Alligator mississippiensis: one gene and its partner. The protein of the gene in region 2 binds, or shares a complex with, the protein of the main gene of each other region. Links are inferred from orthologs where the notes say so. Each region holds a gene or a part of one and is shown on either strand. Other genes may lie near its edges.

Evidence for each region.
Region 1: the proteins of RAD18 (region 2) and UBE2B are in contact, whole or in part, in a crystal structure (PDB 2YBF), measured with the Homo sapiens proteins. The link is inferred for Alligator mississippiensis from reciprocal best matches to the Homo sapiens genes RAD18 and UBE2B. Residues at the interface, in NP_064550.3 of Homo sapiens: Tyr342, Arg343, Lys344, Lys345, His346, Lys347, Glu349, Phe350, Leu353, Val354, Gln356, Ala357, Arg358, Lys359, Gly360, Tyr361; in NP_003328.1 of Homo sapiens: Pro20, Val22, Gly23, Val24, Ser25, Gly26, Ala27, Ser29, Glu30, Gln35, Asn37, Ala38, Val39, Phe41, Gly42, Pro43, Glu44, Glu49, Asp50, Lys54, Leu55, Val56, Leu73, Ser74, Asp151, Ser152.

The regions. Positions count from the first base shown.
Region 1 is NC_081832.1:70,119,150-70,129,505, reverse strand, and holds the start of UBE2B (ubiquitin-conjugating enzyme E2 B), read right to left. Parts: upstream 4,776-10,356; 5' UTR 4,682-4,775; coding exon 4,638-4,681; intron 1,153-4,637; coding exon 1,072-1,152; intron 355-1,071; coding exon 329-354; intron 1-328. UniProt on the Homo sapiens protein: E2 ubiquitin-conjugating enzyme that accepts ubiquitin from the ubiquitin-activating enzyme E1 and transfers it to a E3 ubiquitin-protein ligase. In vitro catalyzes 'Lys-11'-, as well as 'Lys-48'- and 'Lys-63'-linked polyubiquitination.
Region 2 is NC_081835.1:14,536,334-14,546,891, forward strand, and holds the start of RAD18 (E3 ubiquitin-protein ligase RAD18), read right to left. Parts: upstream 4,058-10,558; 5' UTR 3,982-4,057; coding exon 3,928-3,981; intron 2,902-3,927; coding exon 2,820-2,901; intron 1-2,819. UniProt on the Homo sapiens protein: E3 ubiquitin-protein ligase involved in postreplication repair of UV-damaged DNA. Postreplication repair functions in gap-filling of a daughter strand on replication of damaged DNA.

The DNA of each region.
Region 1 (10,356 bases), on a different chromosome or scaffold from region 2:
TACTGAATGTTTCAATTTCTCTATGTATAAGCAGATCTCACTTCAAAATGTTCAGTTAGCTGTGGGTTACTGTGGCAACAAGAGTGCTCCAATCAAAAGACCATAATCTCTTTAAAACAGCAAGCCCTCTCTTTCACTTACAGTTTTTGCTTGCTTTCTGCTTTTTCTGACTCATAACTAAATTTTGTGGCTATCATAATTAAATAGCCCATGTATAGGCAATGTATGTACCTTTCTTCAAAACAAATATAATATTCACGTTGTACATATCTACATACATCTACAACTGAGGAAGGGGAATAGGAACGGCAAAAAATTAGTTACTTACCATCCTCAAATGGGGTACCTTCCGGCCTAAAAATTGAAGAAAAAAATGTTTCTATTAAAATGAATTCGTCTACTTATTCATATACCCCAACCTTCCAGGTACACCAGTCAAAATGGAAAAAAGCCAAACAAGTACAATCCTATACAATGCACAGGTTCAGATTAAAATTAATGGGTAAATCCAAATTCACAAAATACTTGAATTTATGACAAGATACTGAGTCGATTCTGACTCTGCGGGATAGCTAATGTATCTAGATAAAAGTTGCATCCAGAGAATTATATTGGGGGGGGGGGGGGGGTGGGGGTGGTACGTGGAAATTGGCTTGGTCCCTGCTAACATATCTAGATTTCCTGGTTAAGTGGAACAGAATTATTACATGCTTCTTTAGGAGAATCCTGCCTTTTCTAGAACTTCTACTAGACCCTTCACATAAGTTCAATGGTATTCACTATTCATGGGCACAAAATCTGACCACCTAAAAAAAATATATATATATTTTACTTCAAAAACTACAACAGGAGAAAAACTTATTTAACTGTGCCTCTCTGAAGGGGGAGTGAATACATACAAAACAGCATACATGCTAGTTTTCCCCTTAGTTTCTGTAACTTACTTTTACTTAATCTATGAACACATAAGTGTCTCAAAAGTTTTCAAAGAATCATTTATTATCTTTTTAAACCTGTATTTAGCCCTTAAGCATTATCATTTGTACAATGAGTAGGAAGAAAAGCACATACCCAAATATAACTGCATTCCACTGCATTATGTTATTCTCAGATGGTGCACCACTGACACCCACAGGAGGGTCTTCTTGCAATCTAAAAATTAAAAAAAAATAGTGGTAAGATACTTGTTAAAAAGTCACACACACACAATCTGGTAATAGTTAGAAAGACATACACGTGTGTGCGCGTCTAGAGTTTGCACTGATCTGCTGAATTCTCTAATCCTAAAAGAACATGGAATGCAGAGTTTAAGGTTATATGTACATTAAATGTTCCAAAGACAGAAGCAGATTTTCTGTTCAAATATTTTGTTACAATAAGACAGACCAACAGAAAAAAAAAAAAAAAAAGAGAGAAGCATAGCATGCGTTTCTGCATGCGTTTCTCCATCAAATAAGAGCAGTTATGAAACACCTTGTACATCTGGGTTTTACATTCTGTACGTCAAACGATGAAATAATGAACATTCAGAATCACTCCTGCTGGCTGCAGCAGCGAAAACAAAATGATTTATAACCACAAATTGACACACTGAAACTGCAACTATTGCGGAAACCAACCAATACTATCTATAGTATGCACGTACTGGAAGCTACAAGAACGTAGACAAGATGGTGCGTGGGGTCTGGCTAAATTCTGAACATTCAAAATCAAAACAATTTTGGCCAGCAGGACGATTGCTCTAAGAGGTAAACAGAAACATCGCTGTACTGTTTTCTTCATTCCTTCTTAGCCTGAAAACACTGTGCTTTAAAGGAGTCATAGAAGCATCTTAACTTATTTAGACACACACACACCCACGTACGTTCTGGATTAGTAAGAATGCATCAATTTCCTAGTGGAAAACATGGTACCAAAGAAGTATTGTATATGAAGTGGGAGTTTAGAGACCAAGACCTTTGCCCTAGGACTGTATAAATCCCTGGATTAATACAGATGTTGTACTACCCTGTTGGTACTATGCCTTCTCCAACATACTTGCATACAACCTGAAATCTGAAGCACTTCCAAAACAAACCAAACAGCCAAACTTGCTTCACCATAGCACTAAGAAATGTATTGTATTTAAGGAAACCCAAGCACTAAGGGGATAGGCCAAGAAACAGATTTTGATTTGATATTCTGTTGTACATCAGAAGTCAGGATAAATCCCCAATTGGTTCCCTCACCACCACTTCAGGTCCACAAGAGGGATCATGTTTTAGAATGACATATTAGCAAGGACGCTGACCATCAAGCACCAATATTGCCGCTAAGGCAAACTAGCAGCAGGGAGTTCTCTGCCCGAGATTCACAGCGTCCTTCCCAACCTGTATTTAAGCATCCTTGTTTTCTGACCTTTCACAATTTACACAGTTCAATATCAACAGATCATACCCACCACTTTGGGGAACAGTTTCTTCCTACCGGAAAAACCAGATTGCCTGCCAGTATCAAAGCCTAAGCAGCAAACTTAAGTGCTGTTCTGAGATAGCTTTGGTTCTTAAATCAGGACAAAGCTCCCCCCATACTATGCTGTGGGAACATCTTTAACTACAGAGAATTTATGGCCTGAACTGGAAGCTTAACTTGCCTGAACAGAGCCTAGAGATATTTAAGAGCTAGCGATAATGTGGTATTTATAGCATCCGTATTCCTTTTCTAAGAGCTGTAATTAGTATTTTTCTAATTTTATTCAAAGGAACTAAAGAACGGTCAGCCTTCCAATAATCTGTCAAGTTCTTCTCTCATCACCACCACACAACCACAATAAACACAGCAGAGTTCACAGCAAAACATGCAACCTGAATGCTGTTACTTTTAGACTGAAGTAATTGTTAGTAACAAACTAAACGCATTTCCTTTCCCCCTAATGTTAAGAGACTGACATTTTAAAAGAAACATGAGCTCAGCCTGGAGGTACAAGATGGTTAGGTTAGATAAATGCACACTCATTCTGTGCTTCAGTGCATCTATTTAGAGTATTTATTTACTTACTTATCCACCTCCGATGTTAACAACAGAATCAGTGTCTCCAAAAGCAATTCTTATCCATTAGTGCCATAAGTAGTCAGGTTTTTTTATATTCATTGTGACCCACCATTAGGAACAGGATTTAGATGTCCTTTTTTGCTTTAAAAGGAACTACACGATGTTATGTTTGCATTATACAATACCTGGGAAGACTGCTGACAGGTAACTAACTTCTAAACCTCAACTCAATTCCTAACATTTTAGTTGCATATCAAACTTTTAACATTGCTATATATTATGTATACATATATAGCCCATGTCAACTGTTTACTTACACATTTGCAGATACTGCAATAAAATACAGTGACCACTAATAAAGTGGCACTACTGAAACCAAGTCATCTCCAGTGATTTAGGCCAACTCCTTTTAAAGAGAACAAGAGTTTTGCCTCCAATAATTTAGGCCAACTCCTTTTAAAGAGAACAAGAGTTTTGCCTCCAATAATTTAGGCCAACTCCTTTTAAAGAGAACAAGAGTTTTGCCTGAGTAAGGGACACACTTTGCTGGGGTTATTTGACCCCAGTTGTCTTTCCTGTCCAGAGCAAGGGGGCTGGACCCGATGCTCTCACGAAGTCCCTTCCAGCCCTCAACTTCTGTACATCTGTGTGAATGTCTCAGTGCCTTCAACTCACACAGAGCTGACAAAAACCACACAACGTGGACGGCGTAACAAAGACCTTCCACACCATACCTATATATTTACGTCAAGTGGGATAATTCAAGGCATTCCCATTACAAAAAAAGAGACTATCAATGACCCCCACGCTCACTGCAACACAAAAATAAGGTGCTCTATGACGGGGATCCGCCTGCACGCAAAACACACCGCGTTGTGTCCAAAGTTTCCAAGTCCAGAAGCACGGCAGTCGCCGCCGTTACTACTACATTTACCATCGCTGCCGTGTACCTCGACCACGTGCAGGACAGTTTGGACAGGCACAACCCTGCGGGGGCCGGACGGGATCCGACTTCTCCCAGCCCGACTCCTCTGGGAGAAGCGAGTCCTGGAGAAGCCGGGTTGGGAGGGACCATTTAAAAGGCATTTGAGTGTTTATCTGGCTAAGCATCCAGGTGGCAGCTGTGTTGGTCTGGAGGAAAAGGCAATCAAGGACTCGTAGCAGAGAGGATCTCTTTTATTAAACCAACGAGATTTTTGCTAAATAAATAAATAAGTAAATAAAAAGTGTGATCCCCGGGGCTGGACTCAATCTCACGAGGTCCCGTCCGGCCCCCAATGTCTATGAACAACCTCCTTTCTCAACCTGTGGGTCAAGCCCCAAAAAGGGGGGTGCGAGGGTATCGGGAAGGGTGGCAAACCGACTTGGAAAAGGGGGGGAAGCGCGGGCTTTTCCCTCGCGGCGGCCCCACACCCCGGGGGCAGGAGCGAGGGGTGCTGGGTCTTGTCCTGAAAGGCTGGATCCAGCCCAACCCCCACCCGAGGCAGCAGCATCCCCATCCCCGTGCCAAGCGGCCCGCACAGCCCGGGGCCGACCCCCGCGGGGGAAGCAGGGCCCGGCGCCCCCTTGCAGCAACCCCAGGGCCAGAGCCCTTCACGGACACCCACCTCTTGAAGTCTCTCATGAGGCGCCGCCTGGCCGGGGTGGACATGTTCCTCCGCCCGCCCGCCGCCGGCCCGTCCCGCGAGCTCCGCCGTAACCCGCCGCCGCCGCCGCCGCGCAAACAAGCCCGCAATGGCGTCTCCCTCCGCGCGGGGGGCGGGGCGAAATGTACCACTGCCGCGGGAGCCGGGGGGTAGCGGAATGTACTACTGCCGCCACAGACACCGGGCAGCGGGCGGGGGAGGTTCTGGGAGCGCGCTCGGGATGCACCATTGGGCCTGGCCGCGGAGGGGGGCAGAGGAGAACACCCCCGTGCGTGTCGCTTGGGCTGCGCCGTGTTTGGTTCCTTCCTCCCAGCCGGCTGCGCCGGGGGGTCCGCACGCGCGGTGCAAACCCGGCCGCGATGACAACCGGCAGAAACCTCCAGGGTCGCAGCCGCGGGGCGGAGAATGAGCGTGTGCTCGCACTAAGTTGTGAGCAGAAGACTGCATGCCCTTTCCATTTTTATTGCCAATTGTAAGGAGCCTTTTTCAGGTCTTTTTTTTTTTTTTTTAAATCAAGACCTGAAAAATCTCACGCATCCAGGCTCGGGGTTTTAGACACCCCCTCACCTCAAGATTCAAAGTTGCAGAAGTTGGCAGCTCCCTGCCTGATGGCTTCCCCGCCCCGCATCCTTGCTTATGTCCTTGCAGAGATGCATCGGGCCCTTCATTCGTGTAACTCCTGCAGCAGTGTTTGTGGGGCGTGCAATAGCGGCTGGTGGGGGTTTCCCGGATGAGCGACGCTAAGCTAATTAATGCTAGGCTGAGCTTGGTACAAGCCTGTAAGTGATTCTGCTCTAATGCATCTACCATGAGAGAGAATTCCCCCTGCACCAGTTTCTGTTGTTTCAGGAAGCAATTTAGCTCCCTATTGTTAAGTATTATGTAGGGGGGAGGGGGGGAGGTTATTTTATTCTTTTACTTGCTTCCATAAGTAAGTAGGGCTGGCATTGTACTATATGAACACAAAGCAACTGAAGATCTCTGTCCTGCAAGCTTTTCTACACCTGCTAAAGCATGCCAAGTACACGCACTTAGACCCATTATCCTACAGCCCTGAAACCACTAACCCCTTGATTTAGGCACTGACATAAGGGATCGCAGAATCGGCCCTGATACAAAACAAGTTTTTCAAAAATCGGAGTAAGAAAACACAGACCCATGTAAGTGAAATCAAGCCCACTTTCAATCCTGGAGAACTATTCCTCACACTAATAGGAGCCAACGCTCGTTGCCGTACAAGCTTTCAGAACACCCTTCTCCCACCGCGCGCGCACTTCACATTCCTTTGCTGTCTGTTTCCCTCCTCTCCAAGCTGTTTGTATTAAGTGCAAGCTCTGAATTCTTCAGGAAAAGGGCTGTGTTCTCGAAAGCCATGTACAAGTCTGGCCCTGCTAAGTACTTAGTTAGTTTAACTGTATTGTGACTTGACTGCATTAATGTTACACGTCGGAGCTGTTCTCCTGCTGCTGCTGCTGCTGCACAATTTAAGAGCTCTCACTCCAGAAGTACAGTTCTCTGCTCTTTAAGGAACCTATCTGCCATTAATCTAACAACATACCCAGAATCTGTTCACACCCTTCTTTTGCAATTCATTGGATAGACAGTCTTTTTTTAAAGAAGGGAAAAGGGAAGCCACACACAAAACACCCAAATCATTCTAATCCAACCACTGCTTTGCACCTAACCAAGGGTCTTCCTTGCCAAAGGCCCACCCCATTAAGACTTCCTTAGTCACTACCCCAGGAACATTTCACCTTCCTACAACCAACTGTATATCTTCTTTCCCAACTAAGCTTTTATTTCTACAGCACGGGTGGGCTGAAGGCAGCCCACCAGGCCATTCTATCTGGCCTGTGGGGCCCCTAAAAAATTTAGAAAATGAATGTTTATCTGGCCCTGGCTGCCTGTCACGTGGCCCTTGATGGATTGCCAAAACTCAGTAAGCGGCCCTCCGCCCAAAATAATTGCCCGCCCCTGTAGACTAGGGAATCAGGCATTTTTCCCAGCTGAACCTGATAATTCCCTCTACAGGGGCAAATACGTATTCTTAAAAAAAAGCTCAGCCTCAAACAACTGATCCTTAAAAGGACAGACTACCCTTCTACAGAAACCTTCAAAGCAGGAGCAGTGTATAGATTATGATACGAGGTGTATTTGGTAGCTGTGTTGATCTGAGACAAAAAGAAATACAAAAACCTAAAACTCTTGGTTCCAAAATGATACCTTTTATTAGATCAACTTAGAAATGACACAAAAAAAAAAAATCCTTTCCGTTGGTTTAATAAAAGGTATCATTTTGGAACCAAGAGATCTAGATTTTTGTGTAGCTTATGATATGACACATAGCTGAGCCATTTTGGTTGCATACAGCAGAGGGCAGCGTTACCCTTCCATACAAACTTGTTCATGTCAAGGTTATACAGTAATTTGTCCAAAAGAATGGATCTGTCGCATGCATTTTTACTCAAAAGATTTTTTTTTTCAATCTTATTCAGGGGTTAAAGAAACATTTCAATTAATTTAGTATATTGGGAAAATAAAAACAAGGGTCTGTAAACTTTATTTCAGGAAGTCTGATGTAGCATTCTTAAACTGGATTATATGAAATTTATTTTTTTTTACATCCAATTAAAAGAATTCATGGTTAAGTTTGAAGTTCAGTCACAACTTCAGCACTAAAAGAGAGGCCAGCCCTCTCTGTGGTTTGTGGTTTCTCGTGTCATTCTCTTGCTAGGAAGATTACCCAAGATCTCACTGTAGGAGGTAATTGTTTTATGTCTGCTGGTGATTGTTTGTTTACTGGCAAATGATGTTATCACTATAGTTACCCCCTGCTTTCACTATGGGAATAATTATTTTCGATTCATCATGAAATAATGCATTACAGCAGCTGACAAAGATATGACATCGGATGCATTTCACATACTTCATAGCATCTGACAAAGTAGGTTTTTGTCTATGAAAGCTCATTTTTCTCTGAACCAGTTAGTCTTTAAGGTGCCACCCTGCCCTGCCTTCTGTCTGACTTCTGACTCACCTGGCTAACCACCTCTATTCCAGTTTGAAAAACTTTTCTAATGACTTTTTTTTCTTACAGTGTCATCCCTACAAGATAATTGATTTTTTTCATTCAAGAAGTCTGAAGAATAACGTAATGGTCTATGGCTATGCCCCATTAGCCCCAGCCTTCTGCCACCTATGATGGCAGCTGAAATGAAATAAAAACTGGCAAATTTTGGACAGCGTCATTCCTTCTGCTAATCTAAAATAGTTTATAGTTAGAAAACCAGTAAGACAGAAAATTATCTTGCATGCGTACATAACAGACAATTACCCCTTAATAAGCCTCAAGGAACTTAGGAAATAGCAGTGAAGCTGGGCTGCTTGCGTGTGCGCTAAATATTATAAATCCCGCAAACCTTAATTAACAAAAGACGTGAAGGCTTCAGTTCTGCAGTGCCCCTGCAGAGCTTCGTTACTTGCATTAACGTGTCCAAACCCAAGCAATAAAATATATTGCTGAATAAAATAATAATCTTAATAAAATAATGATAGCAACATATACAGTAATCAAAGGAATTGTGAGAAATGGATTTGCATTATTTATTTGCATTGCCCCTGGAGGCCCCAGAATGAGTCTGGAGCTGCATTCTGCTAGGTACAAATTGTGATGGAGACAGGCAGCTCCTCCCTAGAAGGGCAGAACCAATCCTACAGTCATGCAGTCTTTTAATGAAGATCAAAGGGGAAACAAAAGCATCCAATAATTCAGTATTACAGGTACTTCCTTGACATCTGCTATTTGCTCGCCCCCTTGCCAAGATAAATATTAACCAGGAAATATACCAGCCTGCAAGTATTTATAAGGACATTAAAAAATGCTGTTTACAGTCACTCCATGGGTCCACCTTGCTCACATATCCTGGGTCCCACAGCTAGCGGCTCCTCCACAGAGCTGTCACAATGCATCTGCTGAGTTCATGGACACCCCCGACACCCGCCCCTTCTGAGAGCAGAGGGAGACCCTGGCGTACGCCCTCCTGGACTGTGCCAGGCCGCAGCCCCTTCATTGCCTGCCTCCTCCTCAACCTCCTGATGCCCTACTCCCATCCCACACCTTGCTGTTTGTGCACTCCTGGTACATGGCCCCACGTGGCCCTGGGGCCTCCCCTCCTCCTGGCTGGGAAGGAGCCTCTGGCCAGGAGTAACACCCCCACCCCCAGGGACTACAGGGCTGTTTTCCTGTCCTTGGCCTGTTCACCCTCCAGGCAGTTTCACCGGGCAGCGCCCACTGGCTCCTCGGCCTTGTCTGGGGCCGGCAGGCCCTGCCTGGTGTGCTCCGCTCAGGGTCCCCCTCACTTGGAGCAATTCATCTAAACCTGTGCCCTGCCCCCTCGTCCCTGTTTTCTCTTCAGTTGCCCCCTGAGCTCAGCGGCCTCCCGGCTGAAGCAGGTTTTCACCACGCTCCTGCCCCACCAGCACCATCTGCCACACGCAGGCCGACGAAGCCTGAGGCCCTACCCGCGCGCATGCGCACGAGGGCTCGTGCTGGACGCCAAGGCACTGCAGGCGCCGCCACTTCCCTGCTCCCTTCCGCACATGCGCAGTCACCGGGACGCTTCAGGGAGGCCCCGCCCCTTCCGCTCCACTTCCGGGTGGAACGGGATGAGGCCGCGGCGGTTGGCTTGGCTGCCTGTTGCTGTGGTAACGGGGCCTAGTGGCGGCGCCATGGACAGCCGCGGTGCGCAGGTCAGCGGGCCGGGCCCCTCGGCGGTGGGGGACGGGACGGGGCAGGGAGGTGCGGGAGGCCGGGCGAGAAGGCTCCCGTTGTCCTGCGCCGCGTTGTATTGCCAGCAGGGCAAGGGAAGCGCTTGGTCCCTTCTGTGGGCAAATTGGAGAGTCCAGCGGGGGGCGACGAGAGGGTGACAGGGCGGGGACACGTGCGAGGAGAGGCTGCGGGAGCGGGGTTTATGTAGTCTGGAGAAGAGGAGGCCGAGGGGGATTGAATAGCAGCCTTCAGCTCCCTGCAGGAAGGAGGATGGAGCCGGCCGGTTGTCAGTGGGGGCAGGTGACAACAAGCAGCAATGGGCTCCAGTTGCAGCAAGGGGACTTTAGGTTACATATTAGGAAGAGTTTTCTCACTGGGAGGGTGGTAAAACACTGGAACGGGTCACCCAGACAGGTGGGGGAGTCTCCATCCTGGGAGGTTTTTAAGACCCATCTACACAAAGCCCTGACTGGGGTGATGTACTTGGAGCTGGTCCTGCCTCGAGCAGGGGTTGGACTCGATGTGACCTCCCGAGGCCCCTTGCAACACTAATTTTTAGTGATTCTGTGTAGTTGGGCTGAAGTTAGGCAAGCTTTCGAATACAAGACTTTCTTCCCATCTCCGGGTAGAGGACGCCAGGCGCAGCAAGTCGAGCGCTGCATAGGGGAGCGGCTGAGAGAAAGTTTCAGGTGTGGCAGACAGGGAAAAAACCAAAAAAGCTGACCACAGACAGCACTCGGGTGCCTGGCTTCCTGTACGCACAGACCCGAGGAAGAACGTCTTACGTTCCAGAGCTCGTCTGACTGCCGACCGACTATGTAATTGGTCCAATAAAAGATATCGCCCTAAGAAATTCTTGCCTCTTGTATTGCTTTTGTCTCTTCTAATCCATTCATTGTTTTGGCTCCTAGA
Region 2 (10,558 bases):
TGCAAGAACAGGGATTGTACAGGGTACTCTGTCTAAGTGCATGGTCCGGGACTGAAAAATAGCTAGGCACTACTTGGAGCATACACCTATCCAAACTGAATGTCAACAATGCTCATTAAGTACACAGTGCTGTCACTGATGAGGTAGCAGCTGCCTGTAAACATGTGCCACAACTAATATGGGCAGCCTCTGCATGTGCCAAGCAAATCAAGAGGACAGAGCAGTAGATAGGGCAAGAAGCAAAAAGCAGAGCAGCAGATCAGGCAGGGGAAGGAGACTGGATGACACTTGGGGAGGGTGTATAACTAATTTGGGTTATGCCTGCCCAAAAGGTTGACTGCCTTACACTGACTAGCTCCTATAATTTTAAAGGCTTCAGATAGCACCCATTTGATAGATTTTTTCCCCTTCGCTCTTGCTGGTACAGTCAAATGGGATGCAATTAAGTTACGAAGGAGGCAGTGGGGCTCAAAAATGCTTTGGGCTTAAGTGATTAAGATACTTTACTCGTATACAGAAAACCAATGTAAACAATAGGCAACAAATTGGGACCAGCACTATATTAAGCAGTTAGATGAATTATGCTCTAATCTGGTAGGCCAAGAAAAGTTACTGTCCAAAATACAGCTTGCATTTCTGAAAGCACCTTTCATTCATAGCCACTAGTATCTAGGGCTCTTTGCTGATTAGACAGTGACTGAGAAAACTATATACTTTAAAAAGGAAATGTCTGTCAGGAATCCATAAGTTGAGCACTGCATTCCAAAGAAGTCAGATCATAATTTTGCATGTGAAACATTGAAAAAGAGGAATTTTTATGAGGAAACCTCTGGTGAGATTTCATACTGCACATCACTGGGATAAGTGACAGGAGGGTTTGAGCTAACTGGAGTAAAACAACAGCACATCCCTAAGCTCTGGTGAGTTTAAATGGATTATAAGTGATCCCTCCACCTGTATCATTGCTCTGGCCCTGATAGGGAGACTGGAATAAGTCTATCTCATTGGAACCATTCTGACAAGGTATCCCTACAATGTGCCCTTAGCACAGGGGTGGGCAAAATATGGATCCAGCCTGCCAGGCCATTCTATCCGGCCCATTGGGCTCCTCCAAAAAATTATTACCGGCCTGCAACTGCTCTTCTGAAAGCCAGCAGGAGGCAGACTTTCAGAGGTCATGCACCATCAAAATGGGCAGGCTCTGTGCTTCTACCTGCTACTGCTGCTGTCAGTGACGGAGGCTGTACACCATGGGGGAGGAGGCACACATACCCATACCCCTTCAGAAACCCCACACCCCCCACAAATCCCACACACACACCCACCGACCACATCCCATGCCCCTCTACACACAACGTAGAAGAGTAAGACTTTATTTGAACTATTATGCAACCACCTTTTTATATACTATGCAAAAGCACATAAATCAGGGCCAAAATATTTTTTAAAATAAAATTAAAATGTGTTATAGTAGTTTGATTTGAGTATACAATTTTTTTTTTTCTGGTTCCAAGATGGCAACCCCCCCTCCCAGAAGGATTACTTCCATGGGAGGGAGGGTGGGTGGGGGGGAGAAGACAATATGGATGACTTCTGGTGTCAAATGTCAGGGGTTAGGGGCTTCCAGTCCCAAGATGGCGATTAGGGCAACGTTTCCCAACCGGTGTGCCGTGGCACACTGGTGCGCTATCAGGCACGTCCAGATGTGCCACGGCATTTTGGGCTGGAGCTATGCCCCCCGCCTGCTGCTGCTGCTGCGGACACAGACAGATGGGGAGCGTGGCTCCAGCCAGCCAGCGGGTGTAGTTCCAACCCAAAACGCCATCCAGCTGGCCACATGCCCTTCCCTCCACCCGCAGGTCAGCGTCCGGCTGGCTATGCACTACCCCAACTCCACATCTGGTGTGCCGTGGTGCTTTTTTATTTAGGTAAGTGTGCTGTGGGGTGAAAGAGGTTGGAAAACGCTGAATTAGGGGGTGGGGCACCTGTCAAGGGGCAGGGCTAACCTTGCAACCCTTGACAGCTCACCAAAACTTGTTAAGCAACCCTCCAGCTGAAATAATTGCCCGCTCCTGCCCTAGCATGTCATGGACAGATGCAAGCAAAATTTACTATAGACTTTAAACACAATGGAGAAAAATGAGGGGGAGAAGCAATCTGTACAAATGTATTCTCTGTATATACTGATTAACCACACACTTTGGGCCCAATTCAGTCGCATCACATTTGGCATCTGGTCAATGTCAAGTGGCTGGAAACTGTAACTACTAGGTCAGTGGCAGGCATTTGTCGCGACCCAGCACACACTATAATGTTAGTCCTACGACAACTGGTACAGTCCAGCAGTAAGTAACCTGTGTTCTCCTTTATACAGAGAGAGGCTAAGAAGGTAGTAAGACAGATGAGGGCGTGAAATAAAAGTCAGAGAGAATCACAGAGAAGAAGGGCTGGAACAGACCCCCAGAGATTATCTAATCCAACCCCCTGCCTGAGGTAGGATCATCCCCATCCAAACCATCCCATACAATCCATCATCTAAATTCTACGTAAGACTGCCGTCACCCATGACACAACACAGACCTCACCCCCTAACCTGTCACAGATAAAGCAGGGGAACCAGGGCAGCTAAAGACGTGCTTCTATGAAATACTGTCAGTATATGCTTGAGATCCCAGGCCATGGGCCATGCCCCTGCGACAGGAGGAAGGCAAGCCCACCCGCCCCCTCTGCCCCAGTACCAATCTGATCATGGAGCAAAATTCAGAAGTCAAACACTAGCATAATACATGCACATTCATATGAAACTGTCCTGTACTCACAGTTGTGTGAACATTGTGGGATGATCATTGCAATATTGAAGTACTCAAAGCATATCCCACAACGCAGCAAGTCGTCCACTGCCTGCAACAGGAACAAATTATCACTGGCGTCACCAAAAGCACCACTGAAAGCATTGCTTCAGGACAACACCTGTTTGTACCTCCAGACAAAAGTCCATCCCTGCACCTGTATCATTGCTCGGGCCCTGATATGCCTGGTCCAGTCTCTTTATATCATTGCAGCCATTCTGGCAAGGTCCCTACCGCGTGCCCCTAGCACGTCACGGGCAGATGCAAGCAAAACGGACTGCAGAGTGTACATACAGTGGAGCCAAGATATAAGGGGGAGAAGCAATCTGCACGAATGTATTCTCCATATACATTGATTTATGTACACACGCAATTAACCCTGCCCCCTCATGGGATGCAAAAGAAGTTGAACAGGTCGGTCGCCCACTGCCCCCAGCATGTGTCACGACTGCAAACGGTCGGGGGCTGCCGGGGAGCTGCAGGTGGTGGGGTCTCATCTCCGTTAGACGGAAACTGGGGCTGCTCCTGCTTTGAGCAGGGCTCGGATGAGATGCAACCTCCCGCGGCCCCTGCCAACCCTGTCCGTGAGCCTATGCACAGGTTACGTGGGGGTGTTCAATGGAAACAGCAGGTCTGTCTGTCGTCCTTCGGGACCGGGGGGGCTATAAAACAGTTCGGGGGCTGGGGCACACGACTGCTGAGGAGAAGAGGAGGGAAGTGGGGTTATTGAGTGTGGAGAAATGACTGAGGGCGGGATTTAGTGACACCTTGCAACTCCCTGCAGGGGTAGAAAGAGGATGGCGCTGGGCTGTCCTCAGAGGTGACAGATGACAGGACGAGGAGCGATGATCTCAAGTAGCAGCAAGGGAGGTTTAATTTGGATATCGTGCAAAACTCGCAGGGTGGTAACCCAGGGGCGGGCAGTCTCCACCCTGGAGGCTGCTCAGAGAAAGCCCTTCTCCCGCCCCGCCCCCACCTGCAGCGCGCGGGCCACGGAGAGCCCGCGCCGGGCCCAGCGCCCCGGGGTTTCCCGCTGCCTCCCTGCTGCCGCCCTGCCCCCGGCCGTCCCCGCACCCACCTTCAGCGGCGACAGCCGCTCCGGCCAGCGCGGCTCGAGCAGCGCCAGAGCCATGGCGGGCGGACCGGCGGGGGCAGCGGTGGCACCGCGGGAACAGCCCAACCGGCGTCCGAATCGCGCGCCCGCAGTGCGTCACACTTCCGGGTCGGCGCCGCGGGGGCCGCTGGGAGATGTAGTTCGCCCGCCGGAGCTCGCGGTTTCCCCCGTCTCCCCCACGCCTGACGTCACGTGCCATCTCCCCGCGGAGGGCGGGGTTCTGGGGGGGCGGGGCCGCCAAGGCGGGAGATGCGGCGACCTCCCCGCCGCGGGGTTGTCAATAATTACTATATCTGTGCGGTCATTTCAAGGACAGTATCATAATTCTCATACTTATAATGATCATACTGATCATAGTGATCATTATCACCATTATCATAATGATTATCATAATTATCAATAATTATATTTGTGCGGTAATTTCAAAGATAGTATCATAATTTTTACAATTATAATGATCATAATGATAAGATTATTATCAATAATTATAATATTTGTGCGGGCATTTCAAAGATAGTATCATAATTCTCATCATTACAATGATCATACTGCTCATAATGATAATATCATAATGATCAGTATGAGAATTATCATAATTACCAATAATTATCATGTTTGTGCGGTCATTTCAAGGATAGTATCATAATTATAATTATAATTATAATTATAATGATCATCATGATAATATCATAATGATCAGTATGATAATTATCATAATTACCAGTAATTATCATGTTTGTGTCGTCATTTCAAGGATAGTATCATAATTAACTTAATTATAATTATAATGATTATAATGATAATATTATCAATAATCATATTTGTGAGGTCATTTCAAAGGTAGTAGGAGAGTAAAAGCATTCAAAATGTATTTTTAAATTAAACAATATTTAACAATTTTTTTTTTTTTTTTGCAAATATCTAGTTTGTCTAATAAAAGATATCACCTCTCCCATGAGTCCCGATTCCTCTTTCAAAATGTACGAGACCTGTCAAGGCGGGGAGTTGACACAGCACGTGCCAAACCCGAGTCGCTCTGAGGGAGTCTTCGCCAACTTCGGGGTTGGCCGTCAGTGCTTTCTTATGACGGCTTGCCTCAAAATAAAAAAAAAACACTTCCACTTTGATGACCCAGTTCTCGCTCACTCACTGCTTCAAGTGAGCAATATAAAGTAAAGAAAAAGAGTTATTTGCATTTTTTCCATTTTTCAGCTATTACAGTTTCATAGTTGGTCGGGGTCGGAAGGGACCTGAGCAGATCATCAAGTCCGACCCCCTGCCATGGCAGGAAAGAGTACTGGGGTCAAACGACCCCGGCAAGGTGTTCATCTAACCTCCTCTTAAAGACCCCCAGGGTAGGAGCCAGCACCACTTCTCTTGGAAGTTGGTTCCAGATCCTAGCCGCCCTGACAGTGAAGTAGTACCTCCTGATATCTAGCCTGTATCTACCCTCTGCCAGCTTGTGACTGTTATTTCTAGTCACTCCTGGTAGTGCTCAGGGGAACAGGGACTCCCCCAATGCCTGCTGGTCCCCCCTGACTAGTCTGTAACAGGCCACTAGATCCCCGCACAGCCTTCTCTTATGGAGGCTGAACAGGTTCAGGTCCCATAGCCTCTCCTCGTACGGCCTGCCCTGCTGTCCCCTGATCATGCGAGTGGCCTCCTCTGGACCCTTCAGGGATGCTGTCCACATCCCTCCTGAAGTGCAGCACCCAGAACTGAACACAGTACTCCAACTGCGGCCTGATCGGTATCGATGCCACAGTCCCCTAGTTTTTTAATGAGAATGGAAATATGATACTTTTGAGCTTCCAGTACAATAATTTCATAGTTAAGACCTGGCAATGCAGGTGAACACAGTCTGAGGGGTGCCTGAGGTCTACAACAGTTGAGACCCACTGGGCTAGAGGCACCGCGGGTGGGTGCAGCCAGCTGCAGTTTCTTGCATTCGTATGCTTTACCTTCAGTGCACCATTGGCACAAAAATCCAACGGTGCCCAGGCCTCACGTTGCCCTGCCTCTCCCCCTCTCACACAGGCCACTTACCTGCGTACAGATGAAGTGCCCAAGCCTCTGGTGCGTCCATCCATCCCACTGTCTACTTTGACATTGAAACCTCCTCCCCATCACTGAAAATAAAGGCCTCTGCTACACGTTACATATATTGCACCATTCACTGGCAAATCGTGCAATAGATTTAGGCCAGCCACACATGCAAGGGGAGACCGGCCACATGTGCAAAATAATTACTATGCAATTATCTGGTGAAGCATGCAATACATTTAGACTGGCCACAGGTGCAAAGTGATTATCACACTGTAAAAATTACTTTCTAGCTATTAAGAGAGCCAACCAGCAACAAAGTGCTTGAAAATGTGTAACAGCTCTATAGCTGGTTTCTTATCCACCTTTAATCTGAACATGCAGCAAGGCCCAAAAAGGGGCACCGGTAGAGTAAAGAGAAGGCAGCTGGCAAAGTAGATCAGTGGGTGTGGGGGAGCTGTTTGAAGCCATAAAATTAACAAAGCTAGTCAGGGGCTCCTATGAGAAGCCTTCAATAGGCCATTTCAAGGCTACTAATATCATATCACTGACAGCAAGTTCAGCTTAGGGCCCTCAGGTTAAAGCTGAATGGAAGTCAGTTTATTAACTTCCATCCGATTAACCAGTTAGTTGCGTGATAATTACTTTGCACTTGTGGTCAGTCTTACTTTTGCATGTGTGGCAGGTCTACGTATATTGTGCGATTCACCAGTTAATTGGATAATATATGTAGCATAGCAGGTGCCTTATTACTTTGCATATGTGCCTGGTCTAACATTATTGTTCAATTAACCAGTCAATTATGTAATAATTACTTTGCACATGTATCCAGTGTACATTTATTGCACAATTTACCAGTTAATTGTGTAATATATGTAGCAGGAGCCATAGAGTTATTACACAGTTTCAAGCACTAACTTTGTACCTGGTTGCCCCTTTTTACAGTTGAATAGACATTTTTATGGCATGATGATTACTTTGTATGTGTGGCCAGTCTTAATTTTGGACTCATGATCAGTCTAAATTTATTGTGCGATTTAATTGTTAATTGTGTAATATATGTAACATGTGGCAGGGACCCTGGATTGTTCTGAATTTAATAAGCATTACTTCCATTAGGTTTGAGCAAGTGCAGAGTCTTTCTTCACTCCTGAGGCTAGTCACAGAATTGGATTACACTGTGCATTGTATATAGTACTATGACTTTTAATATGTATGTTAGAACAAATGTAAGACATAAACAAAATTAAAATTATATATTTGGGGAAGGCCACACAGTGAATTTGCTCCTTATAATGTCTGCTCCCAGTCCAAATGCTTTACATAGGCCTACAATCCATCCTTATCAAATCTATTCTTCCCAAATGTCCCCTATTTTATTATTATCATTTCCTTTATTCTCCTTTTCCTCTTAAAAAACTCTCCTTTCCCCCTTTTTTTTTTCTTCTTGTCTTTCCCTCAGTGGCTTATTGAAATAAGCCAAAAAAATGCAGCTCCAAAGTGTCATTGATATTTTCTGCCTTTTTGTGACATGAAATTATAGGCCCCCTATAGTGTAACTGCACACATTACACATGCATTTTGTATTATAATATTTACTTTTATGTTGTTCTCATAAAGTTTCCAACTTACAAGTAAGCATGCACAGGGAAAAATTACAAAGGCATTTGTTTCACAATTAATGATGTGTAAGCAAGTACTTTCTCCACTGTTGCTTTAAGCCTAGCACAGAAGATCAAGTCATTTGTCTCTCTTGTTTGCAAATATCTTGATAAATTAATCCAGTGCTCGTCTCAGATTCAGCAGAGTAACCAGAGTGGATGCCGTGACTAGACTCTTGCATTTTGAGGCAGTATCATGGAACGTTACTTAAAAATTCAGAAACTTTTTCTAAAAAAGAAGTGTCAACAATGTGCAGGTCTCTAGACGCTCAGCTCATTCAGTTTCCAAGCTGGCAAATCTTTTCATTTAACCAAGATACAAAGGGGATGACCCAATACAGTATAAAGAACCACTATGAGACGATAACCATATTTTCATTCTTTTGATGAGCTGTGAAAGGTAAATCCCTTCCTTTTCCTGCAAACTGTGGAGCTCACATATCCCAAGTTACCTTATCGGTGATGTTTTTAATTGAATTTTATACCCCTCGCTGCTTCTGAAGGGCCACAATTGCCTCTGAAGATACAGTACTGTTATTAGTTTTTTCTCTCTCTGCTTTCAAGTTCCTCTTAGAACTATCCTTTGGTCACTGCTTCAAGACTTGAAGCTCTTTTTGGCACACTAACTTGTAAGATCATGTATATACAGAGTACATTGTAGGATCCCGGCGGTGGCATCTTTCTTTGACCGTCATGATTTTGTACAAAGATACTGTTCAGTATGGCAAACACCAAGTGGCATCATCATCAGCCTTATTCTGTTTACAAAGAGAGGCTAACAAGGTTGAAGCCAGAAAGAATATTTTTGCAGCAGCATTTTTAATGGATATTTAGTGGTATAAGATGGCATTTGTCAAGGATGGGAAGGAAGAAAAGCTTGCAGTGGTTGAGACATGAGATGACAACAGCCTGGGTGAGAGTTTTAGCTATGTGTGTGAATGGAAAAGGAAGCCTGGATCTTAGCTATGTTATGAAGGATGAAGTAGCAAGATGTAGCCATGCCCTGGATAGCATGGCTAAATCCAAACTTCAATCCATTAGGTTTTGACTGCTAATTATATTCACTGTTGCCTCAGCTACTCTGTCTTCACTGATTTCAAGCAAGTAGTAGCATGGGTTAATTTGCCTCGACACCTTTTTCTGAGGTACAGAATCTACCGGACAGGTTGGTTTCTGCCACAGCAAAAGCAATGACAGCTGTTATGATTAACTTGAGGAATATCTACCACTTCTCCCTTTTGCAAATAAAGTTAGTTATATCACGTCATTAACAACATGAACCCCGATTGTTTTATTAATAATGATACTGGTGGTAGAGGGGTGTAGGTTGTAGCCGTATTGGTCTAAGGACGTAGGCAGACAAGGTTCTTTGGATGAATCTGATATCAGGAGGCAGCCAGCTCAGCTGAAAGCAGCCCAGGCTCCATGGCAGGCAGTGGCAGCCCAGAGCCCAGGCCAGCTGCAGCTGGCAGGCTGAAAACAGCTGCACGGGACTCTGTGGCAGCCATGGCTGGGAGCATGCCTCCCGGTCCACAGCTGGAAAGGGGTCAATGGCACCACAGTTTGGCACCTCCCCTGCTGACTGCCCAGAGACGTGCATGCAGCCACCACTGCCACAGAGCCAGTGCAGGGGCTCTTTGCAGCCTGCCCACCACCTGCTACAGCTGCCCAGAGCCCAGGCCAGCTGTAGCAGACACCCAGGAGGAAGATCCATCTGTGTTTCTCTTCCTGTTTGTAGTATGTGAAGTTTTATTTATTGTCACCAGGTTGTTCACATTTTGTATTTGCTGCAGAAAAATAACATTTATGATTATTAATCATAATAATATGCAGTGCATCCCAACAAGTACCCACCCCACCCCCCACCCTCGCCCCAACACTCCTCCCCTCCACCATTTTGTTTGCCCGGGACTCCAACATCTTACAAGTAGACGTTGTGGATTTTTCTTGGCACGCCACCCAAAAACACTGGCCCTACCACCACAGCTGCTCTCTGATAATTGGGCCTGATCTACCTTTCTGACTGCCAGAGAGGGAAATGTTACAAAACCTGATTGAAAAACTGGAAGAAAAAATATCAGATAGCACTGATGAGCCACTATCACCTGTGAAATGGTGCAGAAGATGCCAGTGGATTTTCTGAAATGTCACAGGACCAGAGGCTGACTAAATAAGAAGGGTGCCATTTGTGAGGTTAAAACTCAAGTTCCATGGGTACTGAGGCCATTTTGAAAGTACTGTTCATATAGAAACAATTTAAAAGTTTGGATTTGGCTAGCTTCTAACACAGTTATTCCACATATTTTTAGAACCAACAAACCAGTACTACCCCTCAAAATTTCTCATGGACCATCACATACCTTTCTTATCGCATTTTCCATTGAAAGGAGGAAGCAATCCATGGACCATTTGCTGTGACATAAAGGACTACCAATAATCTGCTGGCCAGAGTTTGGGATCCACTGATCTAAAACGCTGCCATTTCCTATGTTTTTAGTATTCCATTCTATAAAGACTCCCAAGCCAGCCTCCTTACCACAGCATCTGAGCCTCTTCCAGTAGTGCATTAGCCGACATAACCAATGTCTGTCACATGTAGAAACAGAAAATAGCTGGCACCTGGCAAATTTCATATTTTATTCTAAGCATCAATCAGGCAAGAATGCAACTTCCATAGAAGTTTTTCAGCATCTTTGACTCCACTTGCTCTAGATGATTCTGTCACTGAGCCATCTTCCTGTAGTTCAGTACATTAGCCTTCCTACTTTCTTCCAAGACATTCTGGAAACACGCTGTCCTACTGGATGGCAAGCTGCCTGATCTAAATCTAATATTGTGTCAAGAGTGAACCAATCTTGACAGCAATCATAAGGCAATTTCTGAGAGGAGGA